3 linked regions of the Struthio camelus genome follow. The protein of the gene in region 3 interacts with the protein of the main gene of each other region in a biochemical or structural test. Links are inferred from orthologs where the notes say so. Each region holds a gene or a part of one and is shown on either strand. Other genes may lie near its edges.

Region 1 (6,892 bases), on a different chromosome or scaffold from region 3:
TTTCATTTTGGTTTTAAATACTTTTTTTGTTTTTAAGTAGATTGGTAGAATTTTGCCAGTCTCAAACCATGGCTTAATTTAATATATTAAACTAGTGAAAAATAATGATGAAAATCTTGAAAAATGCTAGATGTTAAAAGTGCAGTTTTATAACTAGTTTTTTTTACAAACATGTAAATTCCTAAATGCACCAGTGTCTTTATATCCCTTAAAGTTTGATAATTATGGTTAAAGAAAAGTTGTCAATATACCTGACAACCCCTTTTCCCCTCAAAGGAAAAAAACTGGGAGCAGGGTGGGATGCGTGAGGGAAAACTAGCAGGTAAAGTTTGTAATCAACTCTGTTCTTGGGGGGGAGGGGGGGGAAAAAGAAGGGGTGGAAGGAAGGAGTTAGACAGTCTTAGGGACTATGAGCATTGTCCTGGTTAAAGCCCACTTAAGTGTTGACGAATGATCTAGGATTTGGAATAGGGGAATAGGTCATCTTAATGTGGCGTGTAATCCTGCAGAAATTGGATTTTGTTAGTCCTTGAACTCTTCCCATAAAGCTGAAGGGTTATTGGGGGTATTTAGACTATTTTTCCTTTTCCCCTCTGTTCAGCCACTGCTCTCCTTTCTTTGTGACTGTGCAGCTTTTTCCGAGTGCAGCTTTGCCTCAATTGCTGAGAAGTATGTCATGTTCAGCTCCTTGTTAGACTTTCCATAGCTAGGCCTACTCCTTTCCAGGGTCCGAACACTGGATAGGACAGTGTCCCATATCCTCTCACTGCTATCACTGTGTGTCTGCTCCTGTAGAAACAGGAGAGGTGGTCAGGTAGGCAAGTTGAACTGAATTTCTAAGAAAAATCAAACACAAACAAGATGTCAGTATTTGTAGGTGGGGAAGGAGCATGTGGAATATCTTACCTGGTATGTGAAACTGTTTGAGTCTTTTTATCTGCTATTCATGTAACAAACGCATCCTAAATTATATTGTGAATGTTAGGGAGTTCCAATTCCAGCTGAATAAATTTTTAAGTGTTGAGTCTACAATATTATACTGTTTCAAACACTTTTTTTGTGGAATGCAGGTGATCACTACAAGAGCATACCTCTGAGGGTGGAATCTGTGTAGCTTCATTACACTGTACCAAATATGCTGGAGTTTGGATGTCCATATAGAAAGCTTTTTTTGCCTTTGTTTAGAGTGAATTAAATGTCCTAAAATTACTCTTCTTGCACTGAATATAAACACTCCAGTGTTGTTTGGGCTAGGTCATAGGTATTGTGTGGGGAATAACTCCCGGGGGTGGGGGAGGAAAGTGTTCTGATTACCTTGCAGACTAACCAGTTACTAAAAGATTTGTTTTTTGGGTTTTTTTTTTTGTGAAACACCTTTTGCTGCCTGTCCTCATGTTGTATCCTTTACTTGTTGTGTTGGAAATACTAGACACCACAAATGCATAACAGGATTTCTTGCTCTTTCTGCAGTGTGCAAATAAACTATTGTAAGCAAGATACTGGAAGTAATTTCAGACTTCTGTTGGGAGCTATTGCATGTTTAGAATGCCTTTTGCCTGTTGAACACCTGGTAAATACTGCTCCTTTTTGCCAAAATAGCTTATACTCTGACATGGAAGATGTCATAGCTTAAGCATTGCTACTAGCTTGTTCTCAGGACTGTATTTTTATCAAGGAGCAGCTGCTATTTATGACTCTCAGTCCTTGGAGATGGAGTATATGTGAATGGTTTCAAGTCAGCTAACAATTCTGAGCACAACATAAATCTGTTAATCTAATCAGTGTTTTTTATCTTAATATGCAAATTGCCTTAAATTCCTGGACAGTTCTTGTGCGTACATGTTCCTTTCAAAGCATCAAAAATGAACTTAAGATCTGCTCTCAGCTTTTTGAGTAGTATTATAGTAAAGCTAACTATGTACACCTACGTTTGCTTGTGCTAGATTTTCTGAAAAGGTCTCCTGTCTGCATGTTATGCATTTTTTGATACCTTAGTGTATGCTTCTTGAGTAATCACTACAATAAATGAAGACTTTCCAAAGTGGATAGACAACTTAAAGGTTACTTTTTATCCTGCATTCTCACTTGGGTGGCTCAATTTAACATTAGAATCGCCTTTTTTTTTTTTTAATTCCTTGGAGCAAAAGTAGCTATCTCTTTATTCAGAATAAAGAATGCCTGTAAAGCATGGCAGCGTTTTCCAAGTACTGCAGCTCTGCTTGGTTGCTACCTGTGAGCTAGGTTTGAAACACCTTCAAGTATGCGAAGGTGTATTTGACTGTGTGGGGGGGTGCGCGTGTGTGTGTGAGGGCTGCAGCTGCTGGAGAGCATGAACTCCCAGAAGTTGAACTTGCTGTGTCTGGGGTGAGGGAGGGGTTTTAGGCTGAGATTAATCAAGAAGGAACAAACATCAAGTGTGCTTATGGGCAGTTAGATATCTGGAATACAGGATACTAGAAATGCTGAAGCCTTTTCTTTTTTTTTCTTTTTTTTTTGTCCTGGAACCTGGTGCTCAGTGAAGGGAGTTGGTGCCTACTAACCTGCTCTAGAAATATAACCAAATAGGAGCTGTCCTTGCAGCTCTGATAATGCTGAATTATCACAGCTCGAGAATGTGGGCTGTACAATGTGCTGAGACTGTCTGTGTCGGGTTGGGATCCTCGCAGGAGCCAAGTGCTCGTGGAGGGGTCTGGGGTTGTGGTTGTCCCTCGCTTTCTGTTCTCCTTCTGCCAAAGCAGCGCTCCCCTTACCTGGTGGTGGCACAGGCAGGGCTGTTGCCAGGAGTCTCCGCATCCTCAAGCCTTTCCTCGTTAATCTGTAGTTGCCAATATTGCCTCAAGGTTTCAAAAAAAAAAAAAAAAAAGCAATGAAAAAACCTTGGTGTTCGTAAACAAGGACTGTGACTTCTTCTGTGCAAAAGACCTGTCCATTTCAAAAAGGTCACTGTAGATGCAGTATGCATATATTAAAACCTGAATAAATTATAATGTAAAATTAATCAATAAAGAAACTGAAATCGCTTTGGCTGCCTCGTCTAATTAGCTTGAAGGGGCTTAAGTCTTGATCGCGTTTGTTGGTTTTTTTTGACGGGAACAAGTTGTGATTGGGACCCAGCTGTCCACAAGCCCTGAAGAAAAGGGGGGGAGGGAAAGAGAGAGAGGTTACAGCTGCCTGCTCGGGGCAGGGGCGCGGGGAGGGCGTCGCTGCCCCGCTCTGTCCGGGCGAGGGGGCGCCCGGCCGGGGGGGGGGGAGCGCCCGTCACTCACTCCTCAGGCCCCGCCCACGGCGCGCGCCATTGGCCTCTCTCCAAGCCCCGCCCCCGCCGCTTCCCGGCCCCTGCCTTTTAAACGCGCCGTCGGCCGCGTCCTGCCGGCCGCCTTGCCCGCCCACGCCTCCGCGCTCCCCCCCGCCCTCCCATTGGCTGGCGGCGATGTCCCTCAGCGCTCGTGACGCGCGACGCGAGCGTGACGTCGCCCGCCACCCAGGAAGCTCCGCCTATTTATTCTCAACTCGGCTCTTGAGGGGAAAAACAATTTCAAGATGGCGGCGGCGCGGATAACAATGGGGAGTCGGGGGTTCGGGCCGGCCCGCGCCTGAGAGCAGCGGCCGCCGGGCCCCGCCGCGCCCGGGGCAGCGGAGCGGGCCGCGGCCGGGCCGGAGGGCGAGCGGGCAACGGCCGCTGCGCAGCGCAGCGCCGGCGGAGGGGGAGCGGCGCCGCCGCACCGGCCTCGGGGGAGAAGGAGGAAGTGGGGCGGGGGGGACGCCGCGGGGAGCGGGCCGGCGTCGGGGCCGGGGCCGGGGCGGGGGCGCGGTGGGCGGGCGGGCGGGCGGGCGAGCCCAGGTAAGGCCGGCGGCGAAGGGGGCGGGCGGCGAGGCCGGGCAAGGCCCGAGGGGGGGAGCCCCGCGCCCGCCCTGCGCGGCGCCCCCGCCATGGCGGGGGGCGGCGTGAGGAGCCGGTGAGCGGCGGCAGCGGCGGCCTCCCCCCACACCACCCCCCCCCCCTTGCGCTCCGGTCCATGGTGCTGCCCCCTTGCCCCATGGCGGAGTTCGTGGTGCCGCGGCACAGCGCGGTGATGGAGCGGCTCCGCCGGCGCATCGAGCTCTGCCGGCGGCACCACAGCGCCTGCGAGTCCCGCTACCAGGCCGTATCGCCGGAGCGCCTGGAGCTGGAGCGCCAGCAAACCTTCGCCCTGCACCAGCGCTGCCTGCAGGCCAAGGCCAAGCGGGCCGGCAAGCACCGGCAGCCTCCCCCGCCGCCGCTGCCGCCGCCCGCGCCCCCTCCGCCGCCCGCCGCCGCCGGCAGCGCCGAGAGGAGCGGGGCCAACGGGCTGGACGCCGAGGCGGCGGGCGGCGAGCAGCACGGCCGCAGCAGCACGCTCATCGCGGTAAGCCGGGGCCGGGGGAGGCGGCGGGCGGGCGGGCCGGGGCCGGGGCCGGCCGGGCCGAGCGGCCGTGCCTGCGCGGGTGCCGCTTAGCAGCCGGCACGGGCTGCTTTATTTTCCCTCCTGTCATCTCTGCGCGCTGGAAGAGTGCGCAGAAAACGGTCTGATGAGGAGGAAGCGGGGGGGGGGGGGAAAGAACTTGCATGCCTCTTTTTGCCACTGTTAGGGCCGTTCCGAGCGGCTTTCTGTGCAGCCTGCTGAGTTGTGGTTCTGGCTATTTCACCGAAATTGTCTCTGGAGGAACTGTCAGGGGAACACTAGTACTGCGAGGCCTATGGGATTTTTGTTTGTTTTGTTTGTGCCTTAGTTTAGGCTGTGGGAGTTTAGCGGGATCGCTGCATGAGGACACTTTTTTTTTTTTTTTTTTACTGATACATATATTTTGGATAATGTCTCCACTAATTCTGCTGCATACTGGAAAGAATTTTAGTGGAATGGTATTGGAAGGGCAGCTGCTTATTTGCCGCTCCGTAGTGGGTGTGAACACTACGGGAATCCCACTCCACCCATTAAAAAACTGGCTTAACCCAAAGTCTTCATGTTTCTCTGGCTTCTCTAGCATTTCTAGTTGTCAGGATATATTCATACAGCTGTGTTTGTATATTAAGATAGCTATTGCCTATTGCTTAACTTACTCTGTGCCCTTTAAAGGTACTAGGCTATACTAATGTGTCGGTAATGTAGGTTAGTAGGATAACCTCACAGAGGTTGCCCGCTTTCTTTCACGAAAGCAGGTATTTCTGCATGGTGACCTGCCTGAAAATGATACAATGCTGCTGTTTTGAACGCCTTGAAAACGTGGTGCTGGCATTAATATGATACGTTTTCAAGTTAACATATACGTTAAATCATGTTTTTAAGATGGCCTATGTGTTTTGAGTTTTTGAGCATGATCAAATTGGAACAGAAGAAGGGAGGCTGTGATTCTCTACTGTCTTGGATCTCACTTGGCTGCAGACTTTAAAATAGTATCACAGTAGCACTTACTGTGTGCTTGTACTGTACATGATGTGGGGCACGCTGATGTCAGCTTTAACGTAACTAGCGCTAGACAAGCATGTGCGTGGTTTGTAATATATGCAATGTGAAATGAAAGTGTTTGGCCGAATTGCTTCTGTTGGTAACATACCTATGAGAATCTAGGACATGCAGGCTTTTCTGAAGACTGGAATCCTTGTGATATCGTTATAGCGCTCATACAATAGAGAAAGAAAAGTCTCGGAGGAAGAGCGTACAGTGATTCTGTAATGCTTTCTGGGTACCTGTTGTTTGGTAGGCCGATCTTGAGTGTAAATTGTGTCAGAACTCAGATGACTCAAACTCATGTTTTGTTACCCGAAGACTTGATGGAATTTCTGTTTGCTTCCTTTCTGGGCTCTGAGTTTTTTTTTGTGTATGGGGCTCTAACCATTAATAATGTGTATTTTTGTTATACACACACAGAGTTCTTTAAGCAACAGGATTTGACACGTTAAACTGCCACCATGCTGCTTCAAATTGATTGATTCTCTAAAAGAAAGATATCTCTGATTCATTGGTGGCATTTCTTCCAAATTGCTTTGGATGTGGATTTGATCTCATTAGCATCCATTATAATGAGGACTCTCAGCAGCAGTGTGGTTTTGAAATACAGTGCACATCTGGGGAAGCCCTTCTTGTGCAGGAAGCTGCTGCCAGTGGCCAATTTACACAACAGAAGAGGATTTTAGTGTATGAATGACTCTTCCTCGTGCTGGCCTGCTGTTTCCTTCCTAGGATACATGACTGTAAGCTTAATTGCAGTTGCTGATTCATCATCTCGTTACTAGGGTATAAAGTTGGTAATTCAAGTTTGGAAAAAAAAAAATAGCACAACGACAACAAACCTCTGCTGCTAATTTCATTCCTTTAGGATAAAGGGTTCCTCTCTAACCCAGAAGTTGATGTTTTACCACTAGCAATCATGTAACTGTTGTCAAGACTAAGCATGTGCTGCTGTGTGTAGGGGAAGGACGTGGATATGGTTTACAGTGTTCAGTAAACTTCTGGATTACCACCAAAATTATCTTGTTTTTAAAATATCCTGGGCACATTCCTTTCAAAAGAATGCTACTGGGACAATTAAACTTGCATTGTATCAATAGTCCTATTATAACAGCACTATTGCTGCTGTTATGATCAGGAGTTTTCCATAAAGCTCCATGTGAATCTTCTCTTAGAAACTAGTGCTCTGTATTGGACGCTAACGAAGCACTTATTTTGGTCTTTCAGAGAGAAAGCAGTTTGTGTAAATAAAGATATGTGAGCTGCCAAATGATCTAGCATCTGATGGCTTGCAGCGGAAGGACCTGAAGCTACACTTGCAGCAAGTGTCATACAGTGCCCAGTGTATGCACTCCCTGTTGCTCTACTTGGCAGCTTCAGACTAGCTGGGGGAACAGGATGAGCACCACCGCTTCCTTTATAGCATG
Region 2 (7,383 bases), on a different chromosome or scaffold from region 3:
AAGTGACTGATTTACATTAATGGTTTGCCAGGAACAAAGAGAATGTGCTGGACAATTTGCATTATGCAGAACAATTGCGTATCCAATGCACAGAGAAGTGAAAAATGTGACACAGGCTCAATCCTGCAAAGAATTTTATTCTTTCCACTGGTTGGTGAAGACTGCTAATACCTTTGCAGGATCAGGCCTTGTCTGAACTGCTCTTTAAACTCAGGACTTCAATTCTTTGAGCAGTTAATGGAATAAGGTCAAACTATCAAATAAACACTACATCTCTTGGAGGTGCTGTTTACATCTTTCTTCAGAAGTCATTTGCGGCTCCTTAGTAAGTTGTACTCACTACCTTTTTTGTGTCCTCTTCAATAAAATGTGTGTAGCTCTTGGCAATGAAGCTTATGCGCTCATAAAATCTGAGTAATTTTGTGCTAAATTCTAATTAAGAAGTTTAATTGAGCCTCGAGTTGCTACTATGTCTATGTGAGCAGCAGCTGGGGACCACCTAATCATTAAGAGATCTGTGCTACTTTCCTTTTGTTTATTTAAAGAGTTCTTTGTGACACTGTTCTTCCCTTATGAGAAATTTCCTTGAAATATTGGGCAGTGAATGAAAATAGCATGTAGAGCTTTTGGCTACTCCCAGACAACCATCTAAGTACTCTGAAAGTGATATTGAAGCTCTCTCTTTCTGCCTTAGGTCAAAATCCTTTCATGTGCTGCACAGAAAAAAAAAGCAAAAATTCTTCTTTATTCTTGAAAGCCTTTAATATGAGAAAGGCTAAACTGTCACAAGAAACATGTTATTATTAGAGAGATTTCACCACCATTATTTTTCACCATGTCCTTCACTTTCAGACTTTGTTATATATCAACAAATCCAATGTCTATCATCTTGCAGTGGTAGAAAGTGGCATTCATGTTAAGATCAGAGCCCTACAATGAGACTTTGAGCTCACTGTACTGGTAAACATCCAGAGCAACTTTGCTGTAATCATTAAAGTTATTCTGGTGTAACTCAGATCAGACTTTACATAAAGTGTTCAGTGCCAGAGAAGAATCAATTGCACTAGAGTAAATTAAGCAGTAACTCAGAAGGCCAGATTTTTCAAATGTCATTCCCCCGCCAAAGCCTATTTAGCCAGGCTTACATATAATTACAGCACACAATAGTCTAGCTTCTACCATATTTCAAAGAGTTTGCATCTTGGTTTTGTTAAGGGCCCAGTTCTGCTGAAACAGTTTCAAGTGATAAGATTATTCCGGTACGCAGGGCTTAACCTTGGAAAACAAAGAATGATTTGAAATACGGAGTTCACCCTTCCTTCTCTTCGGGCATACACATGCACACACAGACAGCTTTCGCTTTCCTCACATTTTAAGCCATCCAAACCAGTAATCTTGCTAAGCAAAGTCTATATTCACGTTCTGATATTTTTAGGAAGTCTTTCCTAGCACAATACCAAGTACCAGTAAATGTGCTGTTTTCATTCAACCACTGTTCTGTATCTGCCCCCTACTGGCGAAGCGTGACACGTTCAAGAAACCCAAGGCCAAAATACCGTCTATGCACACAAATTGGACTCTTTCACCTAAACCACTGCAGTTCAACAGAACAGCTTTCTGCTGTTGTTGCTCTTCCCACACAGGTGTAACAGCTTTTGTTCTAAAGGCTGCACCAGCAGAAAAAGTACAGAGAAAAAACACACCCGAAATGAAAATAGTTGCATTGCATTCATACAACATCTGTCTCGGCCACTTCTAACACGCTGATGAGATGCGGAAGCAAAGAAAAGCTTTCTCACCTCCCAAATCTATGTTTTTTCAAAACCAGCTTTATAATGGTTTATTAGAGGAACCTGGCTTCCACTGAATTCTCACCAGCTGGTATGTATCTTTTTACTTCTCATAGATGATTTAGATTCCTTTAAGATATCTATGATATTTCCAAATAAATTTGGGTGCACATCTGAAATCACTTAAGATTAAAAGTATAGCAGCATTCTGAAAAGGCAGGATTGAGCAAGCAGCAGTATCATGGCCAAGTAACATGGTTTGGGACTAGCCACAGACACGTTACAGTTACGCAATCTGTATCATGTACACAAGTGTTGGCCGAGATGTGCGTTTCAACCAATGGAGATGTATCAGAGTTTATTTTCAATGGGACAGGAAGTCCTAGTTTACATCACCTGGCTTTGCTGAGACAGAATTGGGCCTGTTGTATCAAAACAGAAGCTGAAACTCCTAACGTTTTACTTCTTCACATACCAATGTAAAGCACAACTTGCAGACATTTTCCCATTGTACGTTTGTAGCACATGCGGGACAGTGCTCTCCCCCCCCCCCCCCCCCCCCCCGAGGAACAACGACCTCCAAACTAGGGCTCATCATCTTAAGTGTGGACACAAACCAGGAGCTGCAAATAAAAGTGCCAGTGCACCCCTGCTGGCAAGTGCACCCCGTCAACACTGTTTAAACGAGAGGCTGATTTGGGGTTTTTTTAGACAAACCAAAAAATCTTAAACCATTAAGATGTCTGAATCTGTTCCAGAATTAGACTTAAGAGCTGAACTCATCCTTATTTATGGCCTAACTAATGATTTCTGCTATGAATGCTCTTGAACTCTGTGAAAAATTAAATACAGACCTGAGTTGAAATCCTGACAATGCTGAAGTTAAAAAAGGTCAAAATTCACTCTTTGGCTGTGTGTCCTGGGCCTGTTATGCTAAGTGGCGCACACAGCAGACCTGAGCATGCCTTGTGAACGTTAGCTGCTTATTTAACATATGGTGTGACGCTGATACGTTCCTCTGTGAGATGCTGATAACACCCTTGTAAGCCAGAATGCTGCTGAGCACACTTGGCTAAATTGCTCCAGTTAAATGCTTTAGGCTAACAGGAGGAGCCAAAATTCTTACGCAAAATCTGTTCTCATAAATTATCTGACTCCATCAAAGATTTTTCCTCACAAAAGTATGGCACCTTGTTCTTGAGCAGAAGAACGTCAGCCTAGCACGACAACGACAATCCTTACAGCTCTCCACGTTTTCCACGAGTTGAATCTCGCTGGTTACGTCACCTGCCCTCTGCGCTGCGGTAGCCTCCTTTGCCGAACCTGCAGCGTCTGAAACGGCCGGCCGAGAGCCCTCCGGCTGCCAGAGCACCTCCAAGGCCGCCGACAGCGCTGCGCCGGGAAGCTTCAGGTCTAGGAGAGAGATGGGGAGAGCACAGACAAAGGTGTGTGCAGAGTATTACGCAGTTAAAGGATTTGGCAAAAAACCACGGTATGACCTGACAGCGTTTTGGTTCTGCAGATCCTTCAAGAGGATGTAGCCTTTCACCTGGCATCTGCATTACAAACACAAGAAAGGGGGAGGAGGAGGGAAGACAAACCAGAATTAGACCCCATCCAACTTTGATTTCTGTTCCTTGTGTAGCAGAGCCTTATGAAGTAGTCTGACCTCATCTGACCCTATTAGAGTGTAAAGTAATTGCATATCGTCCAAAACAATATCTTTATGATACACCTTTTGGAAAATCTTTTCTAGAGATGCTTATAGCGCATCTATGGAAAGCAGCATTGCAGCCAGGGAACACACGCCCACGCGAGTCAGGTTCCTCCGGCACTTGCCTTACCTTTCCCTTCTTAGTGGGGGCACAAATAAGCTTCACGTTTTAAGCAGATGTTATGAGAAAATGTAAGATATTAAATTTTATAAAGCAGCACAAGCACACTTCCCGGTGAAGTCCTTCCTCGGGCAGGCAGGCAGCTGTCCCCATAAAGGCCGAGGCGCTCACCTCCCCGGGAGCCCCCCGCCTGGGCGGCCCGGCGTGGGGCGGGGCGCGCCCCCAGCGCTGCGGGCACGTGAAATTCCGCGCGCGGGAAAAGAAAAGGGGGGCGGGGAAAGTTTTTGTCCGGCCAGACGCCCTGGGGAGATCAGGTGGTTCCTTTATACCCAAACGCTGTCTGTGGGCCAAGAAGGCAGGACAAAACAAAAAAAAAAACCACTTTTAGTCTCTGCTTTGTGCCTTAGGCACGGACGTACCCTCGCCGGGCCCACGCACGGCCGGGCAGCCCCCGCGTGGCCGGCAGCCCCGGCGGAAGCGGCGGCGGCGGGGGCGGAGCGGCGCGGCCATGGCGGCGGGCGGCGCGGAGGAGCGGCGCCGGGTGTCGGCGCTCTCGGTGTACCGGCGGGCGGCGGGGGCCGGGCGGCTGGAGCGGCGCGGCGGGCGGCCGCTGCCCGCCCGCAGCAAGCGGGCCAAGGCGCGGCCAAGGCGCGGCGCGGCGGGAAGCGGCGGCCAAGGCGCGGAGGCGGCGGCCAAGGCGCCGTCACCCCCCGCCGCCGCCCGCCGCCTGCAGCGGGCCCAGGCGGCGGCCGAGAGCCCCGCGGGGAAGCGGCGGGGCGGCCCCACGCCGGGCCCGGGCGGCCCCACGCCGGGCCCGGGCGGCCCGCCGGCCGAGAGCCCCGCGCCGGGCCCGGGGCCGGGCCCAGCCCCGGCCGGCCCCGCGGCGGCGGAGGGCGGCGGCGGCGTGGCGGGGCTGCTGGCGCGGCTGGGGCGGCTGGAGGACAGCCGGCAGCGGGCGGCCGAGCTGTTCCGGTGGCTGCTGGCGCCGGTGTCGCCGCGGGAGTTCGTGGCGCGGCGCTGGGAGCGGGCGCCGCTGCTGGTGCGGCGCGGCGAGCCCGGCTACTACGCGGGGCTGTTCTCCACGGCCGAGCTGGACGCCGCGCTGCGGAGCGGCGAGGTGCGCTTCGGCACCCACCTGGACGTGACCAGCTACGCCGAGGGCGTGCGGGAGACCCACAACCCCGCCGGCCGGGCCCTGCCCGCCGTCGTCTGGGATTTCTACCAGAACGGGTGCTCCCTGCGGCTCCTCTGCCCCCAGGCCTTCTCCACCACCGTCTGGCAGTTCCTCTCCATCCTGCAGGAGCACTTCGGGAGCATGGCGGGCGCCAACACCTACCTCACGCCGCCGGGCACGCAGGGCTTTGCCCCCCACTACGACGACATCGAGGCCTTCGTGCTGCAGCTGGAGGGGAAGAAGCACTGGCGCGTTTACGGCCCCCGGACGGGAGCCGAGGTGCTGCCCCAGTTCTCCAGCGCAAACCTCACACAGGCTGAACTCGGCGAGCCCGTTCTGGAGGCGGTGCTGGAGGCCGGGGACCTGCTGTACTTCCCCCGGGGGTTTATCCACCAGGGTGACTGTCTTCCTGATGCGCACTCGCTCCACATCACGGTGTCGTCCTACCAGAGGAACTCCTGGGGCGACCTCCTGGAGAAGCTCCTCCCGGCTGCTCTGCAGATGGCCCTGGAGGAGGACGTGGAGTACCGGCAAGGGCTTCCCATGGACTACCTGGGATACATGGGGGTCGCCAACTCGGACGTAGTCGATGCTCGCCGAACAGCTTTTGTGGAGAAGGTGCAGAGTCTGATAAAGAAACTTATCGACTATGCGCCTATTGATGCTGCCGTGGATCAGAGAGCCAAGTCATTTCTTCACGACTGTCTCCCCCCGGTGCTAACACAAAATGAAAAGGCGCTGAGCGTGTATGGATTTCCAGCCCGGTGGCAAGATGGAGGCACCCGCGACGTCGATATACTAATAACGAAAGACACAGAAGTACGCCTCCTCCGGCATGGCATCATTAGACTGTGCAATGAGGAAGCTGGTGTGATGCTGTATTACACGACAGAAAACTCACGAGTGTATCATAAAGAAGAGTGCAAGTCCCTTGAGATAGATCCCGAGTATACAGACAGTATTGAATTTCTCCTGTCTTCTTATCCAAACCATGTCAGTGTGGATACCCTTCCATGTGAAACCTTGGAGGACAAGATTTCTGTAGCCACACTCCTGTTTGAGAAGGGCATTCTGACTACTAAGAAGCCTCTGGTGCAAGTGTAGCTCTATTCTTGAACAAAATAAACATAGAGTTGTTTATAAAGTATTGTCTCCTGCTCTTACCTTACGTCTGCTGCTGAGTGTGAATCAGCGCTTTGGATCTCCGTTTCTGATCTGAGGGTAGAAGGGCTTTGACCTGGGTAGACAAATCAAACATTGTTCTCATTAAAAAAGTGTCTTCTGTTGAACTGTGCACGGTTAAGTGACTAGAGAAGACGGGTGCTTAATTTGTTTTTGCCAACCATATTACTGCATCCTAGGTAACTTCAGGAAGCTAGTGAACTTTTTTGCAGTCTGCAGATCAGCTGGGTGCTTACACTGTTTTAAAGCAGCCTGTGTTACTGTGGGAAGTACTCTCATTACTTAAAGACATATTTGCGGATGGTCACCTAGGAGCCATGCCGAAATTTGGGCTAGCTGGACTGAATTAGAATAGGGCATTCTCTAACAGTTTGTTTTTCCTTGTGTCAGGGTTAGGGGTTTGGAAAGGCAGCTGGGATGGAGGGTGGTGAAGGCTTTCTGCACAGAAGATAAGTTCTCCCTTGACCTTCATATGCTACTTCAGAATTTGGCTTTCATGAATCTGAATGCATGAACCTTACATAATTTTGCTGTGCCTGTTAGGGAGCTACTGACTGACTAGTAGTGCCTCCTCTCGCTGCAGAGGGAGCTCAGAAAACCAAGGGATGTTTTCTTCTGTACTGGCGTAGTTCAGATGAGAAATAGCTCTAAAACTTTTGTATTAGAATTACCAGGAGTGGACTGAAAAACAGCAGTGATCCTCTCCAGGATGTCTTCGCATTCAGAGTCAAGGTCCTCCCTGCTCCAACAGATTCGATTGGCCTTTTGCCGCAGCCAGTCCGTAACCTCTTCAAGTTTCAGTAGTTTCTGGGTCACCAAGTCCTTTTGGCTTAGCCTGAAAATCTGGATCAAATACATTGGCAGGTGAGTGTGACAGTAAGTCCTCTCTCTTAATTGAAAAATTATATTTGGTGCAAATAAATAAACTATTGTTTGGGCCATACAAGTCACAGCACGTTTGTTTCACTCTGACGTGTCATGGGAGAAGCCTAGGTGAGATTATTTACCTCAATAGTTCAAAGTCTTGCAAGTTAATTTAAATCTTCAGATGTGAAAGCACCTGATAAATTTGCTGACGCTTTTTGTGGAAGGTGTCCCCCACTTCCCTGGAATTCCTTTGCTAAGAAAGAAATGATGCTTCCTGTGAGGCAGCTAAGTTATTGTGGCATATAGAAAAGTTACAATGAGTGCGATTTATGTTTCTTCTATACCTAATCAGATGTACCTAATGCTCTGTGGAAAACTTTAAATGCCTGTTAGTTTTCATGTGCTTCCCTCCCCACCCCCAAGCTTAGATATTTTCTCCGAGATGGTAAATACTGTGACCTTATGCCTGGCCATGCCCTGGCGTAAGAGTACCAGATTGAACCTCATGTAGTTCCTAGGCAGTTGCAGAATACCA
Region 3 (7,221 bases):
CAAAAAAAAGTGGCGTGCATTCATTAGTAGCTCACAAAGGGACCCAGCCTTTGTCCATTAAATTGCTCATGTGCCTGATTGATTTGCTGATTTATTTTCACCAAAGGGTTGGGGGGCTCAGCTTGGAGGAAAGGGGTGGGAGGTGCCCAGCTACTGGGTAGAGTAACGGCGCCCAGGCAGATTTGCAAAAAGCAACACACATTGTCAAGGAAAACTGCCATTCAACAGGTTGGGATTGGAAATGCCTTCAGGTTTCTCCCCAGAGAGAACTTCCTATTTGGAAGTTTGGGGTGGGTGGGAACGTTTCCCTGCCTGCTCTCAGCTTAGGGCACGTTTAACAGGCGGAGGGGAAATCTGGCCGGAAAACAGAGTCTTGCCCATTCAGATCTCTTTTATGGAATAGTTTTAAAAAGGGAGCTGGAGTCTTATTCATTTCTCTCGGTTATTGTTCCCTGGGAGCCTGGAGTGAATCGGCCATCGCTGCGGTGGGTCGGATGGTCCTTCAAAGAGTCCCAACATTTTACACATCCGTTTCCCCACAATCAGCTTGGAGAAAGCTCCTTCATGTGTGCCAGATCCTGCAAGAAGGGCTCGATCCTCAGCTTGGCACCAGCTTCAGCAGAGTTACAGGGAGAAGGTGGCCCTGCTTTCCTGCCTTTCCGATGGCCCACCCAGAGCACAGCCCCAGGCTGCGCCGTGCAAGAAATGACCCCTGAAACGTGTATGGAGATGTCCCGAGAACTGTGCAATGGACTAAGAAATGCTGGGGTGCAAGGGACCAAAAGGCAGCACTTCGAGGTAGAAGGGAGCTGGGCCCGGAGTAACTCGGAGACAGACCACCTCCTTCCCCTTCCCGCCGTCCAACGAGCACCGCAGGCCGGGGCCTCGCTTCTGCTCCATCAGCATCAGCAGGGCAGTCTGGATAAGTAACACCAGCAAAACGTGGCCCTTTGCCCATGTTTTTCCACCCAGCCAGGAACAAAGCCCAATCCTGCCCAACTTGTGGCGACTCCTACACAAGCAGGTTATTCTTGCCACTCAAGGAATGAAAATGCATCTTGCCCTATTAAATCCAGAGCCTTCAAAGCAAAGTCAACATGCACGTCAATACTTCGGTCTAGGGAGATGAAAACCCTCTGGCTCCTCCATACTTACTGGCACACCTCAGTCCCGTTGAGGAAAGTTTCACACTTGCCCCCGTTGAGGCAGGATTCGGCAAGCTGCGTACACCGTAAACCTGCAAAGAGGAGGAGAGCGTTAGCCACAGGGCAGGCACCGGGCAGCACGAGGGGGAGGCTGCTGGGCCCCCTCGCGTCGGGGCTGCCGGGCGCCCCTCGCTCCGCCAGGGCAGGGCGAGCCCGGGAGCGAAGGTGACCTGCCGCCGCCAGCAGCACCCGCCGAAGCCTGGTGGCCACCGTGGTGAAAAGCAGGACCCGGCGGCTGCTCTCCAGGCAGAGCAGGGCTGCAGAGGCAGGCAGCAACCGCGCGGCCCCAGCTCCCAGCAGGGAAAGGCTCGCCTAAAAATAAACTCGTGGTGGGTTTTGAGACTAGGACTCTGCCTTCTCGGTACCCTCCCCAGGGGCCAACAGGAGGACTGACAGAGAAGAAAAAAAACAGGTCAGGCCCTTGAGTGACAAATGCCATTTGGGAAAAAACCATACACCCGAGGGCCCGTGAGTTATCACTAACTCGGTAACGAAATGAGTCGCTCGTCACAACTTACTGTGAGTAAAGGTTTCAATGTCTGGCCCTCAGAGCCAAATTCTGCACAGTTACCACAGCAACTCACTGAAAGTACCAGAATCGCTTCCGATTTCTACCAAAGCTCGCTCTTCCCCTTCTCTTCCTCCGCGAGCATTTCACGGCAACCGGTTCTGTGACACTGCTGCGCAGCCGGAGCACTTTCAGACCGCAGCAATTTCAGCTTCGCACCCCGCCAGCCAAGACCCAAACTTCTCCCCGAAGGGCTGCCGAGCCCCACGCGTCTCCGGCGCGGGGTCCAGCCCGGGTCCCCTCGCGGGGTCTCGCCGGGGGCTGCTCCGACCCCGCACCTTTCCCTGCGGACTGCGCCTCTGCGGGGCCGGGGCCCCCGTCCGGGCCGCCCCGGTGCGGAGCCGGGCGACACCGGCCCCGCTGCTCCCCCTCCCCGGGAGGCTCCCGCAACACCCGGCTCCGGCCGAAGCCCCTCGCCCGGGACCCGGGGACACGGCAGGGCCCCGGGGCTCTCGCCATTTGTAGGGTCCTTGTCCCCGGGCCCGGCGAGCCGTCCCCCAAGGTCCCCCCGCAGTTTGCGGCGAGGCACTCGGAGCCGCCCCGGGTGCTGGGGGCGGCGAAGGGGACCGGCGAGGCAGCCAGGTGACTTTCAAGAAACAGGAAACCGAGCAAAAAAAATTTGCAAAACGGCCGAAAGCTCTCGCGGAACAACAGCGGGGAGCGCTGCTCGGCGCCCCGCGCACCCCCCCGCCCGCCGCGCACCTCCGCCGGGGCGCCCAGCCCGGGTCCCCCCCCCGCCCGGTGCCGCTCCAGCTCCGCTCCCCGCGGGACAACCGAGCGCGGAGCCCCGTCGCGGCGCGTCCGGCCGCGGCTCCCCGCGGGGCGGCAGCCGCTCTCCCGCCGCCGCCGCTCCTCCTCCTCCTCCTCCTCCCGCGCTCGCTGCAAACTTCCTCCCGGCGGAGCCCCGAGCCGCCCCGCGCCGCCGAGCCCCGCCGTGCCGAGCCCGCTCCGGTGGGCGGCAGCGGGGCCCGGCGCGTCCCGGCGGCCCCTCACCTCGCGTCAGGGCGGGCAGCAGCGCCAGCAGGAGACCGGGCACCAGGAGCCGCTGCATCCCTGCTCTCGGGGCTCCTGCCCGCTCACAGCCGCATAGATCCGCGGGGCACCGGCCGGCCGTGCCGAGCCGGGCCGTGCCGAGCCGTGCCCGGTGCGCGCCGCCCCGCCGGGAGCCCCAGACACACCGCGCCCCAGCGCCCAGAGCGCAGCGACTCCAGCGCCCGGCGCCTCCCGCGGCTGCTCTGCCCCGGCGGGCCGGGCCGGGCCGGGCGAGGGAGGGCGGGACGGCGCGGGGCGGGACGGCTCGGCACGGCACGGGACGGCCCGGCCCCGCCCGCGCCCGCCTGGCGGGGAGGGGGGGGGGGGAGTCCTCCCGGGGCAGCCCCCCCCCCCCAATGCAGCCCCCGCACAGCCGCGGGGCGCCCCCAGTGCAGCCCTGCACACCCCCAGTGCAGCCCACCCATGCAGCCCCCCCCCGCAGCCCTTGCACAGCGCCAGTGCAGCTCCCCCCCCCGTCCCCAGCCCCAGTGCAGCCCCCCCATGCAGCCCCTGCACAACACCAGTGCAGCCCCCCCGCCCCGTCCCCAGCCCCAGCGCAGCCCACTCATGCAGCTCCCGTGGAGTCCTCGTGCAGCCCTAGTGCAGCCCCCTAACAGCCCCTACACGCCTCCAGTGCAGCCCCCCACGCACGCCTTGCACAGTCCCAGCGCAGCCCTAGGACACCCCCAGTAGACCTGCCCACCAGCCCCATATAACCCCAGTGCCGCCCGCCCGCACCCCTCGCACAGTCCCGGGGCAGCCCCACGGCAGTCCCTGCACAGGCCCTTGCTCAAGGCTGGTACAGGCCCTGCAGAGCCCCACACATCCTCCCCCAGTTCAGCCCCTCAGCCCACAGCAGCCTGGCACCAGCCGTGGGGCACAGACCCGGCGGGCTGCAGCGCCTGCTCCGTGCGCCGTGCACATGGGGCTGGGGGGGCTCCGCACCCCTGCTTGCTCTGGGGGACCAGGACGGGGCTGAGCATCTCCTCCCGGGGCCCTGGGCCAGGGCGAGCCGGGCACCCCGCAGTGCGGGGTCGGGCTCTCCCAGTGCCCGGGGTGCCCCCTCCGCCCCGGCATCGTGGCTTTCGCCGAGGCAGGTGTTCACAGATACGCCAAGCCACTTCCTAGCAGCCATTAACATACCTGCACGCACGGTTACGCGCACAGCTTGGGGATGATGTTGTTTATTTTGCGCCGTGAACTAATGAACTTGCAGGCAAAGCCTTGGCCAGCCCGACGCGCTGCATCAACAAATAAACAAACAGATGAGCAGAGGCAGGGAAGCCAAACCTCGGAGGCAGCCCCAGCAACCCCCAGGCGCGCGCAGGCTTCCTGCGCGGCCAGCGCCGCGTGCTGGCCCCCGCGGCCTCTCCCCGGCCTCCCCAGACCCCTGCCCGATGGTGGCGGTGCTGGCGGCGGGTCCCCGGGACCTGGTCCCCCGCCGGGCGCCGCGCGCGGGAACGGCACGAGGCGAACGCCCCCGCTGCGGGCGTGCTGGCGGGGCCCGGTTCGTCCCGAGCACCCCAGCGCGGCCCGAGCCGTTCCCGCTCCATCACGGCACTTAACAAATTGAAACCATATTGCCGTTAACTTTAGCAACCCGAGCGCAGACTTAAGCGTTTAAACTCCTGTTTGCATATGTTACCCGAGGGCTACGCTTATAGGGGGGTTTCCTTGCTGGCGGGGCGTTGTACCAGCCGTGGAGCAACACCGGCGGAAACAGCCGGTGTGGGGGTGCTAATGACAACTGCTTCCTCGCGGGGTTACCGCGGGGTCAGCTCGCCGGCTCGCGGCGAGCCTTGCCGGGAGGCCGTTGCCCCGCTGAGCGCCGCAGTGGCCTGTTGGCAATGCCGGGAAAGCTGCCGCGCAGCAGGCGCAAGGGCGGAAAACCCAGGGGCGAGAGCTTGGAGCACAGACAATTTGGGGTGCTAACTCCCACGGGCAACACGGCACCTAAATGCCATGGGGCTCCTGGCTCTCCTTGGACCCTCATCACAGCGGGGGACCCTGGGAAAGGCCATCAGCAGCGCCGTGCGGGAGCCGCCGCCGCCGCCGCCTCCCTCCCCAGGCGAGACGCTGGCAGCTTGCCGCAGGCCCCCAGGTGCGGCAGCGCCCTGGGACCCTGCTGATTAAGCCGTGGCTATTCTGGGCCGTCAAATGGCTCTTTTACAGCTCCCGGTTATACCGTCAAACGCGGGCCGGGGCGGGGGGGCGCGGGGCCAGCTGGCCTGCGTTTGGTGCAAAGCATGGGAAAAAGAAAGAGAAGAGACGGGGCCCGCAAAGGGTTAATGAGAGGGAGGTGACACCGTCATCTGTGTCTCTCATCACAGGGCACCTCTCCCCGCGGCCCGGGGGCTCATCCCGGCCCCTGTCCCGGCCCATGCCAGGCCTGGTGTTATCCCGCTGCTTCCTGTTGTAAATTATTTCCAGAGCAAGTGTGAAACAATTAAACAAACCGAAGGGCAGAGTCTGTTCGCTAGATCAAAGGAACGAGCCCTACAGCGCTATTGCTCTGCCGCCGCGCTTTGCCCTCGCTCTCCTCGCCGCTCGCGCCGGCGCCCGAACGCGGGCCGGGGGCCGGGGCTCCGCGCGGTGCCGCTCCACGCTGGCCGTCCGAGCCGCGCTACGAAACTCGTAAGCGGCGCGGAGACACGCTGCTTGCTGTGCTGCCTCCCTGCAAAGCCGGGGCAAGGGCCGGGCCGTCAGCCGGCCCCACGGAGCCTTTGGAGAGCAAGTAACAGAGGCAACAGGAGCCAAGGGTTTGGCCTCGGCGCCCCTCTAGGCTGGGGGCCGGGGCGTCTCCGCCGGGGCGCAGCCACGAAGCCGGTGCCGGCGGCCGGGCGCTGCCCCGCTCTGCTCGGCCGGCGACGTGCCCGCGTCGCCCTCGCTCTGCAGCGCCGCCGGCTCGGGGCTGCCGCCTCCTGCAGCCCCCGCCGCAGGAGGAAAAACCTGACGCTCCCACCGCTCTGGTTTATTGGGCGATAAAAGATTTCTGCTCCCTTCCCCTCCGTCTTCACCCCTTTCCTTTTGCACGCTGCAGCCCAGCTAGCAGGGAGCATCTCTGCTCTACCCGCCTGGAAATGCCTGCGCTGCCTTTGCCCGGGCTTGTTCCCCGCGCGCAGAAAGCACCGCGCGCTCGGCCTAGCCGCGCTCGGGCGCTTCTTCCCCCGGCTCGAGCGCTGCCCAGGCCCGGCGGGGCCGGCTGTGCCCGCTGCCTGCCCGCCGACGGAGCGGGCCCGAAGCGCGGCGGGATGCTCCGCGCCGTATCGGTGCCCGCGGAGGCAGCGGGAGCCTCGGCCATGGTGCCCTTCCGGGGGAAAAAAAAACCCCTCTCTGGTCTCTCCAGGTGCTGCGGGGGGGCACGAGCGTCTCGGCACGAGGATGACGCCTCCCGCGAGCCGGCGCCGCCGCGGGAGCCCTTTTCCAAGGGGCCTATCTGCCGGTGGGCGCGTCTTCGCGGGGACCCTTCCTTCTTCCACACCCGCCCCGCACATGCTGCTGCCGCCAGCTCAAAGGCAAAAGAAAAAAAAGGAGCGGGAAGCAAAAGGCAGCGGACAGCATAAATCTTTTTTCAATAAGCGGTAAATAGGACATAACTCCAGAGAAACTTTTCATTTTGAGTGGTCTTTGGGGGTTAAAAATCATGGGATTTTAGGTACTTTTAAAAATAGCGTTCGTAAGAACGCTTCTAATAGAAACCTTGGCACACGTCCATGTGATTAGTGATTTAAAAACATAAAACCTCCACACATGTTTAAAAGTTTTAATAAGTTGAAATTAAATGAGTGAAACTCTGGGAATATTTTTTTGTTACTGCAAGCTAAGAAAATTATGTCCGTTAAGCAAAACTTAGTACAAATATAAACAGGTAATGCACATCTGTAAATTATTTTCATGTCTCCAGGGGCTGGAAAAAAACCTAAGTGAGACCAGCATTCTTATATATATTTTGCCTTGACAGCTCAGGAAAAAATTTGCCAAAAACCAGAGTTAGAGCACTGGGCTGGCGTGGGAAAGTTGGTTTAGTGAGAAATTTGCCCCAGGCTATTTAAATAAAAACAGGCGTTTTTTTTTAATGGCAAATGCCTGTTAAAGGCAAGCCGCGCAGCTTCCAATCGCCTGAGTAACGCGCGTTGCCCACTTCTTCGTGACACTTTCATCCCTTGATCGTCGCAATCAATGTTTTGCTCTTCTGCATTCGGGGCAATACGAGTAAGGCAGGCGTCGCAGCGGGTGCCCCGGCGAGGAGCTCAGCTCGCCGCTCCTCTGCCTGCCCGTTTTGGAACCGCGAGCAGCGCTGAGGTTTCGCCCTCTTCCTGATGATGCACGCTCGCACAAACACACGCGCACACACAAAAAAAGCACGTTCAGTAATTAAACATGAATCAAAGTGGGTAGCTCATCCTGGAAAGTCTG

Evidence for each region.
Region 1: the proteins of NOTCH1 (region 3) and MAML1 form a complex in vitro, tested with the Homo sapiens proteins (2 studies listed by BioGRID). The link is inferred for Struthio camelus from reciprocal best matches to the Homo sapiens genes NOTCH1 and MAML1.
Region 2: the proteins of NOTCH1 (region 3) and NUMB form a complex in vitro, tested with the Homo sapiens proteins (2 studies listed by BioGRID). The link is inferred for Struthio camelus from reciprocal best matches to the Homo sapiens genes NOTCH1 and NUMB.

Annotation. Positions count from the first base shown.
Region 1 is NC_090954.1:6,930,314-6,937,205, forward strand, and holds the start of MAML1 (mastermind-like protein 1), read left to right. Parts: upstream 1-3,891; 5' UTR 3,892-4,016; coding exon 4,017-4,385; intron 4,386-6,892. UniProt on the Homo sapiens protein: Acts as a transcriptional coactivator for NOTCH proteins. Has been shown to amplify NOTCH-induced transcription of HES1. Enhances phosphorylation and proteolytic turnover of the NOTCH intracellular domain in the nucleus through interaction with CDK8.
Region 2 is NC_090946.1:43,243,225-43,250,607, reverse strand, and holds the start of NUMB (protein numb homolog), read right to left. Parts: upstream 3,002-7,383; 5' UTR 2,981-3,001; intron 1-2,980. Other genes in the region: RIOX1 (ribosomal oxygenase 1), read left to right, coding at 4,134-5,903. UniProt on the Homo sapiens protein: Regulates clathrin-mediated receptor endocytosis. Plays a role in the process of neurogenesis.
Region 3 is NC_090961.1:3,758,966-3,766,186, forward strand, and holds the start of NOTCH1 (neurogenic locus notch homolog protein 1), read right to left. Parts: upstream 3,006-7,221; 5' UTR 2,825-3,005; coding exon 2,767-2,824; intron 1,238-2,766; coding exon 1,156-1,237; intron 1-1,155. UniProt on the Homo sapiens protein: Functions as a receptor for membrane-bound ligands Jagged-1 (JAG1), Jagged-2 (JAG2) and Delta-1 (DLL1) to regulate cell-fate determination.